3 linked regions of the Pelodiscus sinensis genome follow. The protein of the gene in region 2 purifies or fractionates together with the protein of the main gene of each other region. This does not show direct contact. Links are inferred from orthologs where the notes say so. Each region holds a gene or a part of one and is shown on either strand. Other genes may lie near its edges. The genes, in order: POLR1E, protein POLR1D and CRCP.

The links.
Region 1: the proteins of protein POLR1D (region 2) and POLR1E purify together in Homo sapiens (affinity purification with mass spectrometry; 3 studies listed by BioGRID and IntAct, with this or other methods). This does not show direct contact. The link is inferred for Pelodiscus sinensis from reciprocal best matches to the Homo sapiens genes POLR1D and POLR1E.
Region 3: the proteins of protein POLR1D (region 2) and CRCP purify together in Homo sapiens (affinity purification with mass spectrometry; 5 studies listed by BioGRID and IntAct, with this or other methods). This does not show direct contact. The link is inferred for Pelodiscus sinensis from reciprocal best matches to the Homo sapiens genes POLR1D and CRCP.

The regions. Positions count from the first base shown.
Region 1 is NC_134716.1:788,395-793,940, forward strand, and holds the start of POLR1E (DNA-directed RNA polymerase I subunit RPA49), read right to left. Parts: upstream 3,965-5,546; 5' UTR 3,861-3,964; coding exon 3,797-3,860; intron 2,136-3,796; coding exon 2,032-2,135; intron 1-2,031. UniProt on the Homo sapiens protein: Component of RNA polymerase I (Pol I), a DNA-dependent RNA polymerase which synthesizes ribosomal RNA precursors using the four ribonucleoside triphosphates as substrates.
Region 2 is NC_134711.1:300,349,545-300,355,090, reverse strand, and holds the start of protein POLR1D, read left to right. Parts: upstream 1-2,864; 5' UTR 2,865-3,006; coding exon 3,007-3,032; intron 3,033-5,546.
Region 3 is NC_134731.1:20,053,996-20,059,541, forward strand, and holds the start of CRCP (DNA-directed RNA polymerase III subunit RPC9), read right to left. Parts: upstream 3,859-5,546; coding exon 3,799-3,858; intron 1-3,798. UniProt on the Homo sapiens protein: DNA-dependent RNA polymerase catalyzes the transcription of DNA into RNA using the four ribonucleoside triphosphates as substrates.

The sequences.
Region 1 (5,546 bases), on a different chromosome or scaffold from region 2:
TGGAGCAGCACAAGCAGGGGACGGCTTCAGAGCCCGCTCATGCCATTTCCTGCTGCACCTCTGCCTCCACTGCCACCCATCCCTGCAGAGATGGTGCTAGGGGAAACCAGCTTTTAAGCACCAGCTCCTCCTCCCACTGCCTCTGTATCAGAGGCAGCGGGGAGAGGGAGAGGGGGAGAACTAGTTGACTCAACTACCCGATAAGCCATGTTTATCAGGTATTTGACTAGTTGCTTACATCGCTAGCAAAGACTAGCTCTATTTTGTATTAGGGGTGCTGTTAACCACATGGCCTAATAGAGACAGTGTGTGCAACATGCAACAATCAGTATTACCTTCAGGATCCATGACCGTGTTTAATTTGCTAACCTTAACTAGATCATTGCAATGGTATTTTGCATTTAACCGAGGCAATTCACACTTGCGGTGTACTGCATTACTGAACCCATCAGCCCTTACAGTAAGTGGCATTCAAAATCTTGAAATACATTGTCAGTCAGCTATCTGATGTTAGGTTCTTTGGAGTGCCCTGACAAAACCAAACCTGCCTTTCATACCCCTCAACGCTCGGATACTCAGCCCTGTTCCTAAAGGTTACACTGACATCTGGTGGTATTGCAGACTCCAGACCACAAGCTTTGCAGAGAAGGGAGGTGTTCCAAGTGTCAGCATGCAGACTAGTCCTCCTGGCAGACAGCCGGCTCACTGAAAGCTCTTCTCCCTCCCTCTTGCCCCACTCTTGTAAGCAGCCGTGTAAATGGAAAAGCTGGTGCTCCCACCTTTCCTGGAGCCAATCTGATTTCTACTGCTAAGAACAGCCTCTCCGCCACGCGAGTGGAAATAAAAGTCGAGGCGTGGACAGAGTCTCAGAAAATACCAGAAAGTGGGCAGGATAAAGGTTGGGGGTTGTGTTTTGATTGTAATTCACATGGAGGGGTCATTGGCTACTTTCACCAATTTGGAATCTACTTATTTTTTATGATGGTTAAAAACTGTTTCAGTTACTATGCCCGCTTACATCGTACTTAAATCCCTCTCCTAATTTATGACGCTTAACAATCACATTTTTAATGTTTTCCTCTCCACTGCTGGCGGAGCCCACTAAACACCTGTCCAGCCAAACCCACTGACGGGGCCCAAAACCAACAGTCCAACTAAAGCCCTGTTCCTGCAATCGGTTCCATAGCAGCCTAATCTTAAACAGCCCCACTGGAGAAAATGGGGCTCCATGCCTATCTCCTTACACAAAAGAACCAGTGAATAACTGTCTATGAAAGGGGTATCAAAGGCAAAACCCGAATACAGAGATTTTCCTTCACGCCAGGATCACAGGAATTTACAAACTTGGATGAGACCCAAAATTCATCTAGTCCAATATCTGTCTGCAAATGTGGGCAGTGCCAAATACTTTAGAGGAAGTCTAAAATAGCAGATGAGAGACAAAACTGCCACCACATTCGAGCTCTCTTGATAGCTTAAAACCTGAAGCAAAAGGTTTAACAACTTCTAAAATGTGTTATTCACTGTATCTCGATACATTCTGCACCCATACAGCATCTTTAATTTCTTGTAATCTTAGGTGTTATACTTGTAAACAGTAGCAGCTTATAAAAATATACATAATTTTTTTGCGTCTAGGGTGCATCTACACAGCACTGTACACAAAATAAGATACGCAATTTGCGCTATGCAAACTGTTATCTTATTTTGATTCTATTTCAAAATGGTTTATTTTTAAATTTGGTGCATATAGACAGTGCCAAATTTTGAAATAACGTGCTATTTCGAGACATCCCTTAAACCTCGTGGAACAAGGGTACAGGGATGCCGAAATAGTACGCCTGTTATTTTGAAAAATATTTCAAAATAACAGATGACTTGTTAAGAGGCAGGGTAGCAAATAGTGCCCCTTTACATATATTTCAATACTTCTTGGCAAAAATATCCTGGTTCACCAAAACAAATAGCTAGCAATAACCAGGAACCTGATATATCACTGTAGAACTCGGGTACAATGACAGACAAACTTACCAAGATTCTTTGATGTTTCTTTCTGGGATTAGTAGCGTCATTGTTTTTGTACAAAGTAAAATCCATGTTTTCAGAATTCTGCAGTTTCCCGTTAGAGAACTGAACTGTAATACATTTGTAAGGAAAAGCATTTGAAGCAGTGCAGATAATTATATGTTCAAAACAAAAATGTTGGCAACAGTGCCGAGAGAAGCTACTTGTAACAGGCATGTAAAATGCTGTTTAAAAGGTTAACCGGTTGAAATACACATTTAACTGGTTAAAAGGATCACCACAGGCAGGGGGCTACTCAGGCCGGGTGCCACTTAACCAGCTACCAGTAAGCATAAGGGTTGTGCTTACCAGGTATCCTGTTACCCTTTTACAGCTCTAGCTCTTAATGAGAATTTCGGGGAGCCTGAATGAGCTCAGAGTTAATTTCAGAATACAAATGATTTTATTCTGGAATAATTACTCCCCATTGGAAACCAGCTAATGATTCTGGAGTAAAACGACTGTTCTTATGGCCCCAGGAAGTTATTCTGGAGTATCTACTGTGGAATAATTGACCCTGAAATGGTTATTCCAGTCAATGTCCAACCATCGACAGAGCTTATTGTACCAAGACTGTAGACCAAACAGAGGGCTGCTACCATCCTACATCTGAGACGTCAGCGAGTTGCCCCCTAAGATGGCAAGGCTTGATGCTAAAGAAGGATGTTTTGACCCATGATTTGAAAGTCTACTATTTGCCCCAGCCCAGAGAAGGGCTCGCTTAGAGCTGTGCAAACACAGTCAGAAACAGACCCTGAAAAGGAGACAATTTCTCCATCCCTGACCATTTTGAAATCCAGCTAGAATTATTTCTACCCAAAAGCTCTGCTCTAGGAGTTAGTTTGGGGAAGGTCTCTGGCCTCTACTATACAAGGGGTGAGACTATGATCAGAGTGGTCCCTTCTAGCCTCCGGATCGGTGAATGTAAATATGTTGCCAGTTCCCTGAACAGGACCTCAGCACTGGGAGACAATTCATACACTGTTCCATGCACCCCGGGGCTGCAGACTGCAAAGGGATCACTCACTCACATGCTCCTTTGCTTTCTAGCGGCACGGTCTAAACGCACAACCCACCCTGTGCTAGGTGGCAAAGGCAGGCCAGCGGCCGCCCCGCAGAACACTGACCTCCAGCTGCAGTCCTCTGTGGCGGGCTTTCATTGGGGGCTATTTTGTCATTTTTAAGCAGCTAAAATGCTGGTTTTTTTCTTGGACTCCCCGCAGGTTAAAATGTTGTCAGGCCTGCGCAACCGGAGCCCAGCGGCCCTTGCCAGGCCAGTGCAGTACCAGCCATCCCGTGCGCACAAGGCCCCCGCTACCGGCTGGGCCAGGCCACCTCCACGGGGCAGGCTTCCCCCTCGCAAGGGCGGCTCTGCAGCCTGCCCGGGGAGAGACCCCCAGGACTCGCTCTGCAAGCTCAGGGCGGGGAGGGGGCTAGCAAGGATGAAACTCGCCCGCCGAAGTGGCGCGCTGCTGGCGAGGCACAGCCGGGACGCGCTGCTGGGGACGCGCCGCCCTGCAGCGGGGGGCCCGCGGCACATCCCGGGGCCTGGGCTGCAGCAGCGGGCGAGAGCCCCGGGCAGGCAGCGCCCGGTACATCCCCCCCCCCGGTACCCGGCTCACATCCCCCCGCTAGCGGCACCCGGCGGAGCGCACGGGGCGAGGCGCAGCCCGGAGCGCACGGGGAGCCGCCCCGCGGGGAGGCTGGCTGGGGGCCGGGGCGCGGCTCTTACCGAGCGGGGCGCTCTGCGCCTCCAGGGGGTGCCCCCGGTAGCTCCAGCTGGCGGCAGCGGCCATGGCGCAGCTCCTCGTGGCCGGCTGGAGACGCAGCCGCGACCGCCGCCTAGAGCCGGGCGCTGAGCGGAGCTGGCGCCGCCCCCGCCAGCTGCGCGGGGAAACCTGGGCCGGGCCCGCGTGTGCACGCACCTCCCTGCAGAGCGGGCGGGGTCTGGCATCCACTGGGGGGGGGGGCAGGCTTGTAAATAGCGACGTAAAGGGGTGAGCTGAGCAGCCCCCCCCCCTCGGTAACTGGGGGTCACCAAATGAAATTAATAGGCAGCAGGTTTAAAACAAACCAAAGGAAGTTTTTCTTCAGGCAGAGCACAGTTAACTTGTGGAACTCCTTGCCAGAGGATGTGCTGGAAGACCAGGACTTTAACAGGTTCCAGAATAGAACTAGATAAATGTATGGTGGCTAGGGCCGTCATGACTATTAGGCGGGATGGGTAGGGACAGTGTCCCTAACCTCTGTCAGAAACAGGAATGGGTGACAGAGGAGGGATCACTTGATGATTCCCTGTTCTGTTCCCTCCCTCTGGGGGCATCTGGCATTGGCCACTGTGGGCAGACGGGGCTGGTCTGACCCAGTATGGCCATTCTTATTCTTACTGTAAGCACTGCCTGACCAGCACGCTTACCGGGTTAACTGTGCCCAGCTGTGCTGAAGAAACCTGGCTTTTAACCTTAAATGTATAGTTTAGCCAGTTAACATTTTAAATGGACTTTTACATCTCTACTTCTGAAGACCTTCCTAGGACTGCCCGCTTACCACCTCATGGCAAGAATGACAGAACAGGTACAACTTAAAAAACAACAAATAGACTAGTGACACCTTAAAAACTAACAAAACATGTAGAATAGGAACAGCAAGGAGTTCCAGGGCATACAGACTACCAAATTTACTAGCGCTGCAGCTCACTTTGTCAGATGCATGAAGCGAAAGAATCAGATGGCGGAGATATCTACATACAGGGATGGGAGTGTGACAAGTGTTAACGAGGCTAATTCAATAGGGTGAATGTAGCCCCCTTCCAACAGTGATAAGAAGGTGAGAATACCTAAAGGGGAAAATTACTTTTTGTACTGAGCTAAGCCATTCCCAGTCCCTATTCAGACCCATTCTGATGGTGTCAAGTTTGCATGTGAGTCCCAGCTCAGCAGTTTCATGTTGCAGTCTGATTTTGAAGTTTTTTTTGCTTAAGAGTGGCAGCTTTTAAGTCTGTAACTGTGTGCCCAGAGAAGGAAAAGTGCTTTCCTACTGGTTTTTGTATGTTACCATTCTTGGTGTCTCATTTGTGTCCATGTATTCTTTTGTGTAAAAATTTCAGAGGGGTAGCCATGTTGGTCTGTAATAGAAACATCTGAAGAAGTGGGTTGTGCCCACTTTGTAGACACCATCTACATTTTTTGTTAGTGCCTAAGATGCTGCAGGACCATTGCTTTTTTTTTTTCTTTTGTGTAGAGACAGTCTGGTTTGTCCAATACATATGGCAGAGCGGCTGGTGCTGATAGCAATTATTTTTTTCTTATTCTCATAGCCTGTGTTCAATCTGTCACTTTGTACCCCATGGCTGAAGGAAAATTGATAGTACAGAGAAAATAAGACACTGTATTATTTCTGTTTAAAATAAGCTGCACTATACAGGTACTTGAATTGGAGACTGCAAAATCCTTTAGGAGCTACCACTGTTCCTCCTTGGCCTA
Region 2 (5,546 bases):
ATTTAGGGTTAAGTACAGTCTTTAGCACATAATGACAATTCAGGTTTGATAAGAGAATTGTTGTAGTTCTTGGAAGACACCTAGTGTGCACTTTCATACAGAAAATATCAATTTTTTCCCTCTTTCGGTGTGTTCAGTACTGCAGGGGAGCACTAGGAAGAAAACTCACTTCTCTACAGCATAAGAAATGGCAACAGCCAAGAACAGGAGGCAAGGTAACCTCCCTTCTTTCATTATGCATTTGCAATGATGACACTGTCTTTGCTTCTTTCTAGCCTCAGAATATGTAGGTTTTATTGCTTTTGTTTTGATTTCCCCAAAGGTAATAATGGATTATTTATATTCAAATAAAAATTTGAATGTGTACATAGTCAAGCTGATGGGCAACAGACATATTTAGGCAGCCTCTGCTTGCAATGCAGGATTTAGCTAAATCTTCTCACTGTGAAAGGTATGAAACATGGGGGAATTCACCATCTCCCAGTGAGAGTGATGGGATATGCAGTCTGTCATAATTTGAAGAAACACAAAGGAAAATCACCATAAACATATCTTAACACTCTGAGTAAATATCCCAGACCTAAAAAAGAGCTCTGTGTAAGCTTGAAGCTTGTCTCTAGTTTCTCACCAACAGCAGTTGGTCCAATAAAAGGTATTTTCTCACCCAGTTTGTCTCCCAGTAAGGGACAGACTCACCCAACCTACTAGTTTCTAACATGGAGAATGGGCTGAGACAACTATGGGGAGTAGCAGGGGGAAAAAATCACTATTTTTCCACACCCAATCTTTAATTCAATTGAGAACTAATGTAGATTGTGGATACTTTTCTTTACATAAATAAAGAAGAAAACTTTAAACTAATTCAGAACTTCTCAGGTATGCCTATTATTAGCCTCTATAAATGCATGTACTTTTAGTACAGTACTATGTGGGGACAGGAGTACACCCAAACAAATCAGATTTCAGGTACTGTATCATTTTATGTGTTTGCACAATGCGGCCCTAAACCTGACTAGAACCTTAGGGCACTACTACTATAACATACATACATACATACACACACAATGGTTTTCCAGGGAGAGGGGAAACACAATGGGAGATGGGTGAGGAGCTATTACTATCAACACCCTCCTCCCATCTGCCACTGAGTGGGGACTGGGAGAATTGTACCCACGTAGAGGAGAGAGTAGTCATCATCATCATCATCATCAACAATCCTTCCACACATTCTCCCCCCCCCAAACGTCCCCTGTACCCGAGAGAGGGGCGAGGACCCTCCCTCGCACACAGCCCCTTACGAAACAGAGCTGGGGAAGAGACTGTTTCCCTGCCTTCCGATCTGAGGGACACTCACTTTCTGTTGTCCTGAGCTCAGCCTGTTACTCCCCCGGTCTGAGGTGAGCCTAGCGTAGCTGCCAGTTAACACGAGCACACGGGGGTGGAGGTGTCGGCACCAGCCAGCCCGCAGAGAAGAAGCGGGGCGCCTGGCGAACCACCGGGAACGGCGGCGCCTAGCAGCGAACTTACTCACCCCACCGGCTGCCGCCGCCTCCAGCCCCGGCTCAGCACGGCGCCCGGGTCCAGCTCATCCCGCGGCCGGGGGCTGGCTCCCTGCCCCCGCCCGGCAGCTCCGCCTCCCGCTGTCACCGCCGAGCTCCTGGCAAGAGTCAAACGGCCAACTCCGGGCAAGGACTTCGCCGCGCGCCTCACCTGGGCGGGCCGCCTCCTCCGCCGGGCCGCACCGCGGCCCGAGTGACGGCGCGGCCCAGCCACTCAGCCGCCAGCCGGGGGCCGGGGAGGGGGAGCGGAGGAAGCACCGCAGCCTATGGGAGCTGGGCCGGGGCGGGACCCGGCGACGACGGTCGGGCGCTGGGCTGTCCCCGCCGCTCGCCTGATTCCAGCAGGCGCGCCCTGGGGCAGCGGGGCAAAGGAGTGTGAGGGCAGGAGAGACGTAGAGGCGGGTCGCTTGATAACGGGAGGTAGCGCATGGGAGAGGACTGAGTGAGGGGGGAGAGCGAAAGGACAAGCAGGAGCGCTAGATACCTGAAAGGGAGGGCTTGTTTCTCTTTGCAGTCGCCCCATCCTACCTTACCCCAGAGAGCTGCGACTAGCTACAGGCCTCGCTGCTGGGAACTACGCTTAGCTTTCTTCGCAGGGCGCCCCTGTGTGCTGGGTTACATGCCAGGCGAAGCCGCAGTTGCAATTCCCCTTTACAGCCCGGCGGTTGCATCGTGTTTATGCATCGGGTGCATTCTCACTGCTTGGTCAGTGGCAAGTGAGTCACTGCAATCCCACTCACCAGCCTGCTGCCGCCCCCCGTGGGGATACCCGCGTGATCAGCTGGCAGCCTCTGTAGCATCACTGTGCACAGACTGGGGGGCAAGAGAGAGGCGCCTGCTCTGGGGATGGAGGTTTTGAGTTAACTGTTGGGATTTCGCTCTGGGACACATAACTCAGCAAACCCCTCTGCGCCGGTGTTTGGAGCGGAAGAGCCTAAACACGCAGCAATCCCCAGCCTACTCCACATCTCCAGAGGGGAACCAACACACACCAAAGGGGGTGGGCAGAGCCAATGGGCACCCGGCGTAGCGCGGCCTCCTCACGCCTCCCCAGTGGGAAGAACTGGGGTCGGCGAGGCCACGGGGGACCCGAGCACCCACTTCCAGCACCTGGGGCAGCACCAGGAGCTAGGTCTGGCGGAGGGTGGGTGGGACACGAAATCGCTGCCCGCTCCTGTAGGAGCGGAGGTTCCGGGCACCGCTAGGGCAGGGAGGGTGAGGCGGCGGCAGCACTTAAGAGTACGCGCCGCCCGCTTCCTTTCTAGCTCCGGCTTGCTCCGCCCCTCCCGGGGTCCTCGCAGCGCTCGCCCCGCAGCTCCGCCCCTCGCTCCTCCCTGTCCTCAGCCGCGAGCAGTAAACGGGTCGGGCCTGCACCTGAGCTACTACTGCGCCGGTGTCGGTGGCCTAGCGGGGGCGGCGTCGCATCGCCCTTCTTCCTGCCGCCGCCATGGAAGAGGACCTGGAGCTGGAGAGGTGAGAGGCCGGGGCGCGTGTTCCCGGGCACCGAGACAGGGCCCGCTGTGAGCTGCCGCGCCTGCCTGGCGCAGTTGTTCCCTTCCCCGGCCCACTTCAGCACCGGGAGATGGGGGCAGAGGTCAATGCAGGGATGAAGAGTTAGAAGGGTGGGGGGCGCCTTATCTAGGCAGATCCCTCTTCAGTTTTGAAAGTTTACTTCTGTACGCGCCCCTTGACAACTCCCTGGTGGGATGATCACTCTTGTGCCAGGCCTCTGGGGGACGCAGCCCCAGGAAGGGCTAGTGCTGGACTCAGTAAGAGGCCCATTAGTTATGTCGGTTCCCTCCTTAGACTGGCAGAGGCCAAGCTAATCTTCCTGATTTAGAGCCCGTCTGCTGGATCTGTTGTGGGGCATGATATAAATTATCTGCTTCAACAGGTAATATTTGTAGTGCTTCGGGACCATTAGAGAGCCTTTACAAGAGAAGTGGATCCTATTGTCTGTTCATTGTTTATTGTCTGTTTGTTGTTCATTGGTGCTGATGAAAGTGTTTAAATTTTCCACTTTATAACATTACATGCCATATAATAAAAGTTTATTTAAAAAAGGGGTGGCTTCATTTAAGTGGATGCTTCTGGTTTCACTTACCTAAACATCAAGACATCATGGTTTGGAATATTTGGGAGAACAGGGTTCCCAGTTTACAGTACACAGACTTACACACAGGAGACCTTTGACTTCAGTTTGAGAAATAGAATTGGTTTTCTATTCCTATTACATCAAATATATTTTACTTTTACCTGTCTTAGATTGGTGTTGAACCATACAATGTATATTACCAAAAAAAAAAAAAAAAATTAAGACTAGCTCATTCCATGTACTGCAAGTATTCTAGGATTGCAGAGGCTGCTGTTCCAGTTATAGGAGCCCTTCCTCTACCTGTTGCAATATCATTCCCCTGTCCCAAGACAGTAATCTGATTCCCAAGTGGATGTAATCAGAAGAGTATCTTATCACAGGGAACTCAGATTATTGGTGAGAAAAAATAGGTGTAGTGAAGATACTGCTGACTTCCAGTTGAATTCTGAAATCCTCTATAGGATTGGCTCAAATTACTTCATTGCCTCACTGAATCCCATGATTTGATTATGATCTCCTGGAACAATATAATTGCCAACGTTAGAAGTGAGACTAGTGCGCTCAGAAGACTCGTTGGAAACCTGGCCCATGACTGTGGAATTTGCTTCTGGGAAGACTGAACCTCGGTGTCTTCAGAATAAAATAAAAACTCAACTTTTTTCAAACCTTATTTTGTTAAGGAAAGGCATACTTGTATAAATTAAATTACCCCCCACCCTTATTAAATGAAGAAAAACAGGCGATTTTCTATTTTCACTTTAATAAACTTGGGTTGCATGCCAGTACCTGTTACGGCTGCAGCCAGATAACTGTGGAAGTTGCAAAATTAATAAGCCCTGTTTTGTTAATTGAAACAAAGCCTAATCTCTGACTGTAATTATTATAGTAAACTTGTGTTTACATTGACAGTAACAACTTTCAGGGAGAATAAAATGACAGACACTTTGCATTCTGTTGGAATGAGATCATTCATTCTGCTACGCAAATTGACCCATGTCATACCCAAAAGAATAGTAATAGAGAGGTAGCTGTGTTAGTCTGATCTTGCTAAAACAAAAGGAAAAACTATGTAGCACTTTAAAGACTAACAAGATGGTTTAATAGGTGATGAAACCTCAAGTGCTACATTGTTTTCTTTTGGGTATAAGAAAAGGAAAAACTTTCAGTTTAAATCCAGGTTCATTTAGTTGATTATTCAGACATAACAGACCTGTGTTTTACTTTCTGGTTTGGAAATGGACCAGAAGCACTTACGTTATTGGTAAATCTTGTTGGTGTTTGTTGTGGAATTGTATGAGAGTAATGACTGAAATAACAGTTCTGCAGTATGACTTGTCAACACTACAACTAACCCATGTGTAACAGATTCTCATGTGAGATTACCTGTTAGCAATATGTCTAACAATGATAGCGGCAATGAAAGCTTCTCTCACTGCTTTTCCAGTGTATCTCTCACCCAGTTAGAAAGTCCTAACTCTGTGGTTTCATTTACAAAAATAACTTGTTGCCTCCCCTTTCTGCCTCCAACTGATAGCGTAGATGAGACAAAGATAATATTGTGTTGGCTGAAGTGAAGTGATAATTGGGCCTAAGAGAATGTAATGATCTATTTATCTCCATAATTCTTCAGTAAAACACTTGTCCCCTATGATGTTAAAAAAACAGCTAGTATGGCACGTCTGAAATATCAGACTAAATAAGCATATGTCGTTGTGTCAAGATTTTATTGGAAAAATGTAGTGACCACATTAATTGCTGTAGTAAATCTAAACTAGACCATCATAACTTCTACATGTGCCTCAGTTACAGAAAAGCTATTTTAGGGATTTGTAGAGAGTTTTTAAAATATTTATTTGAGCTGTTTTTAGGTACAGGTTGGACTTCCATTGTCC
Region 3 (5,546 bases), on a different chromosome or scaffold from region 2:
TGGGGCACTCCACTAGAAACCGACCACCATCCTGACATCAAGCCGTTGATCACTACCGGCCGGGCCCGACCTTCTAGCCAGCTTTCTATCCATCTTACCGTCCATTTATCCAATCCACATTCCCTTAACTTGCTGGCAAGAATATTGTGGGAGACCATATCAAAAGCCTTGCTAAAGTCAAGGTACATCATATCCGCTGACTTGCCCTTGTCTACAGAGCCAGTTACCTCATCATAAAAGCTAATCAGATTGGTCAGGCACGACTTGCCCTTTGTGAATCCATGCTGACTATTCTTGATCACTTTCCCCTCTTCCAAGTGCCTCAAAATGGATTCCTTAAGGATCCCTTCCATGATTTTTCCAGTGACCAAGGTAAGACTGACCGGCCTATAGTTCCCTGGATGGTCCTTCTTCCCTTTTTTGAAGATGGGCACTATATTTGCCTTTTTCCAATCATCCAGGATCTCTCCCGATCTCCATGACTTTTCAAAGATAATAGCCAAAGGCTCCTCAATGACATTTGCCAACTTCCTCAGTACCCTCGGATGCATTAAGTCCGGACTCATGGATTTGTGTACGTTTAGCTTTTCTAAATAGTTCCTAACCTGTTCTTTACCCACCAAGGGCTGTCCATCTTCATCCCATCTTGCGTAACTTAGCGAATTAGTCTGGGAGCTGACCTTGTCCGTGAAGACAGAGACAAAGAAAGCATGGAGTACTTCAGCTTTCCCCACATCATCTGTCACTAGGTTATCTCCTTCATCCTATAGGGGCCCCACACCCTCTCTGATCACCTTCTTCTTGCTAACATGCCTGTAGAAATCTTTCTTGTTATCCTTCACATCCTTTGCCAGTCACAATTCCAATTGCACTTTCATCTTCCTGATAACCCTCCGGCATTCTTAAGCTATACATGTATAGCTTTCCCTGGTCATTTGTCCAAGTTTCCTCTTTTTATAAGCTCCCTTTTTGTGCTTAAGTTCACCAAGGATTTCCCCTGTAAGCCAATCCGGTCTCCTACCATGTTTGCTTCTCTTGCTACACATTGGAATGGTTTCTTTCTGTGCCTTCAATAAGGCTTCTTTAAAATACTGCTAGCTCTCCTGGACTCCTTTCCCCTTTATGTTAGCATTCCAGGGGATTCTGCCCATCAGGTCTCTGAGGGACTCAAAGTCTGCTTTTCTGAAATCCAAGGTGTGTATTTTACTACTCTCTTTTCTCCCTTTGGTCAGGATCCTGAAATCTACCATGTCATGATCACTGCTTCCGAGGCTGTCACCCACCTCTACTTCCCCAATTAGTTCCTCCCTGTTTGTGAGCAGAAGGTCAAGCTGCGCACGTCCCCTGTTCGGATCCTTCAGCACTTGTACCAAGAAGTTATCCCCACAACATTCTCCAAAAACTTCCTGGATTGCCTGTGTACTGCTGTATTGGTCTCCCAACAGATGTCAGGGTGATTGAAGTCCCAAACCTCATTCTAGGAAAAATGCCTTTTCCGAAATAGTTATTTTGAAATAAGCATATGGAGACTCTGCACTCCTGCTATTTCAAAATAGCTCCTCACCAAGGCCATTCTAAGTTATTCCTCCTCAGTGCCTCCAGGGGCTCTAAATCAAAATAGCACATCTACATTAGGGAAGCCTAGTTTGGACTAATTTTGAGGCTTCCCTGCAGTGTAGATGTGCTATTTCGAAAAACTATTTCGGAATAACTATTCCGGAATAGCTTATTTTGAAATAAGTGTGCTGTATAGACATACCCTAATATATATCATGCCTACAGCTTCTTCCCATCCACTAGGTCACTAACTCAAAGACAGAAATCAAATCATGGCAGACCAACCTATTCTTGACAAATCCATGTTGGCTATTATTTATTACCTCATTATCCAGTAAGTGCTTACATAATTGATTCCAGCATCTTTTCACATATTGATATTATTGCTTTATATGGGTCCTCTTTCTAAAGATAAGTATTCTGTACCTGTCCAGATATGAGACCTCACCTGTTCGCCATGAGCTCGCAAAGATAATCACTAATGATTGCTTCATCTAGCTCCCTAATTCTAAGGTGAATTTCATCAGGCCCTGCTTACCTGAATACACCTAATTTACCTAATGTTCGCACACCTTTCCCCTGGCTAATATTAACTGTGTTAAATAGCTATTCACTATTAACGTTATTAGTGAAGAGTGAATAAAATAGGCATTTAACACCTCAGCTTTCTTAATGGCATCCATTCTTAACTCCCCTTCCCACTAAGTACTGGGTCTACACTTTCCTTCGTCTTTCTCTCACTCTTTACTTATAGAGCCTCTTTTTACAGCCATTTATGGCCTCTTCTACGAATTATGCATTTTGGCTCTTAGTCTTTGTGAGTTTGTCCTTCTATGCATGTGCTATTCTTCTGTACTCATACTTAGCAATTTGTCCATGTTTCTATTTTTTGTAGTATTCATTTTTGATTTATATGTATAATTCTCTTGGCTCTCTCTTAAAACTGGTTTTCCATTTAGGCCTTGTCTTCACTGACTGGGAGATCAATGCTGCAGAGAACCATCTCCCAGAGGTCAGTTTAGTGGCTCTAATAAAGGTACACTAAATGGACCATCGGTCACGCTCATGTCAACCCGAGTACTCCCCCAGGTCATGAAGAGTAAGGGAAGTCAATGAAAGAGTTTCTCCTGTCGACACCCTCAGTAGGGATGATGGGGTAAGTCGAACTAAGGTATGTTGACTTCAGGTATGCTATTCAAATAGCTGGAGTTGTGAACCTTACTTCTACTTTGCCCCCCTAGTGGAGACCTGGCCTTAGGCATCACTTTCTATGGATACAAAGTTGACAACTTAAAGATTTTGGGCCTGATGAGTAAAAAGTATAACTGCAAAGAAACCAGGGAAGTTTCCCAGATGAAAAACTGGTGTAAAAGAGTGGAGAATCAAACCCTAGATTACGAATACTACATGCAAAGTAAGGATATTCAGAAAATTAACATAAACATGTGAATGAAGAGAGAGATAATTAAAATGTTCTGAAGGACTATTTTCTCATGGATTTAAGAACACACACAATTCTAACATTTGGGGGTTTATTACTGATTTGGGATCCAAGCTAGGGATGTTAAATTTCGATTAATTCGCTAATAGAGTAGTTGATGGAATTTCTATTCGATTAGTCAGTAAGGGGGGTGCTTGCTATCCTGTTGAGCCTCTTGCTTTGAAATGTTATATTTCAAAGGGAAAAGTAGCGGGAATCCGCAGGTAGCTCTTGTACGTTTCAAATGGAGAGGAGCAGCAGTCCAACCGGAACGAGTGGGACTGTTTCGATCCCCACTTGTGCCATTTCCCCGATGCCTTCTACTTCTCCTGCCCCCCCACGTAGACGGTGCTCTCCCCGCCCCCTTGCTGCATCCCTCTGATAAAGGCAGCAAGTGTGGGGGGGAGCAACTAGTCGAGTTCCTACTTAACTACCCAATAAGCATTTGCTTATCAGGTAGTCAACTAGTTGCTTACATCCCTAATCCAACCCTGCTCATATTTGTCATGCAAACAGTGCCAATAATATCATTTCTAAGTCACCTTTTAAACCAGGATGAGAGCCCCCATTTTACCAAGCTAATTAAAAACAAAGAAATCCACATGTGAAAAAGCAAAAGTCACAAACAGGTCTCCCAGATTTCTTGGAGACATTTTTATCTGCTCTGGTCCATGTTTTCATTGACATCAAAAAGAATATATTTTGACTCGCTGTGATGATGTTAAGTTGTCAGTTTAAAATCATGGAGCAAATTAACTTACCTCAAGGTTACTCAGCAATGCAGCATTTGCATCTTTCCTGAAAAACAGAAAATTATGCATGTCTCAAAAGAAACGGTCACAAATCCATTCTCTCTTTTTTACTGATCGGGGGGGGGGGACGGGACGGGACGAGACGGACATTTTTCAGTAAATTCTGAGAATTTTTTAAATAAAATCTTCAAGATTTAATTCTGTTAAATCCTCTACAATTCCTAGCTATTGCTGCCTTTAGGAGTTACTTATTTTCACAAACTTCAAACATAGCTATTACAAATATTCTTACACAATTAATTAATTTGTGTAAGAATATTTGTATCATCAAGTGTTTAACTTGCACAACAGAATCATCTTAACTGGGACAGCCCCTGGACTGGCTTAACATCCTAAATAATCATAGTGAAAAATTCCCTGAAGGTGGACCCTTAACACAAGATTATTAAAAAAAAGCATACTGCACAGAACGCAAATGAAAGAATAATAGTCATTAAATTTCATCTTTATTGTGTTCTTTTAATGTTTATTTGAAAAGTTCCATATTAGCAGACTGAAGTTTAGAGTTTCCCATCACTCAACACCTGCCAAATGCTTCCCTATTAAGTGAAATGTATAATAATTCTATCCCCATCAACAAAAAAAATAATTGCCATTCACTATCGTTAAGCTAAACAAGTTTGCTCTGAGTTATGCAAATTTACTTAATTAGGACATTCTTAATTGGGAAAAAATACTATAATTATATTTTAAAATACATAAATAAATGTTATGTTTAAAAAATAGGCAAGAGCACTATACCTCACCAGAGCAACGCATTATGCTGAACAGACAGTAGTAACAACAACAAAAAGTTATCAAACAAAACAAAATAAGGACTTTTCCCATGGTGCCTGAGTTGCTTCATATAAAAAAGACACAATATAGTGTCAGACAGCCAACTTTTTAAATGGAACTCTCACATTCATCTCCTTCAAATAAGTTTAATGCCTTCTACAAACTTTCATGGGTTCTATTATTGTTTTTAAATTAAAGGGACCTTCTAAACTTAATTGAGAGAAACTTCCGCAAGTAAGTGCTCTCACTCACTCTCTCACACACACACACACCAGTTTTCATTCATATTTTACAAACCATATTGCTTTTGTTTATTTGGCAAATGCAGTTCTTTGGAATCTTTGCTTTCAGTCTCCACAGGAAACCCCTATGGTGTGGGGACATTCCTTGAGATAATGACATAGAAGAATCACAAATAAAATCATCCAATTAAAAAAATAAGATGATTATGTGCAGTAAACACAAGGTTTGCAGGATGTAGTTCTGTGAAGAATGAGATTTTTAAATTATGTTCAAGTCTACAGTTCAGGGGCTTCCAGGGCACAACAGCCCAAACTTTTCAGGTACCAATAGGTGGCAAACAAACTGCTCAGAGTTGGGATTTTTTTGCAAGCAGTTTATATTTTGCCAGGCTAGCTGGACTTTAAACTGAACAACATAATGAAACACAGTTGTGAGGAGTAAGGGAAGCCAACAGGAGCCTTTGCTCCCTTCAGACTCCCTTTGTGAAGACAGCACCAAGCTTGGCTTAAGGTATGCCAACTCCACATTATTTACATAGCTGGAGTTGTGTACCTTAAGACAACCTTCTGGGTCTAGTGAAGACCTGGCCTTAGTAATGCATTAGACTGCCTTAGAGAATTATTGATGGCCTTAATTGCAATCCTAAGTAGGGATGTAAAGTCCCATTTAGTTTGTTA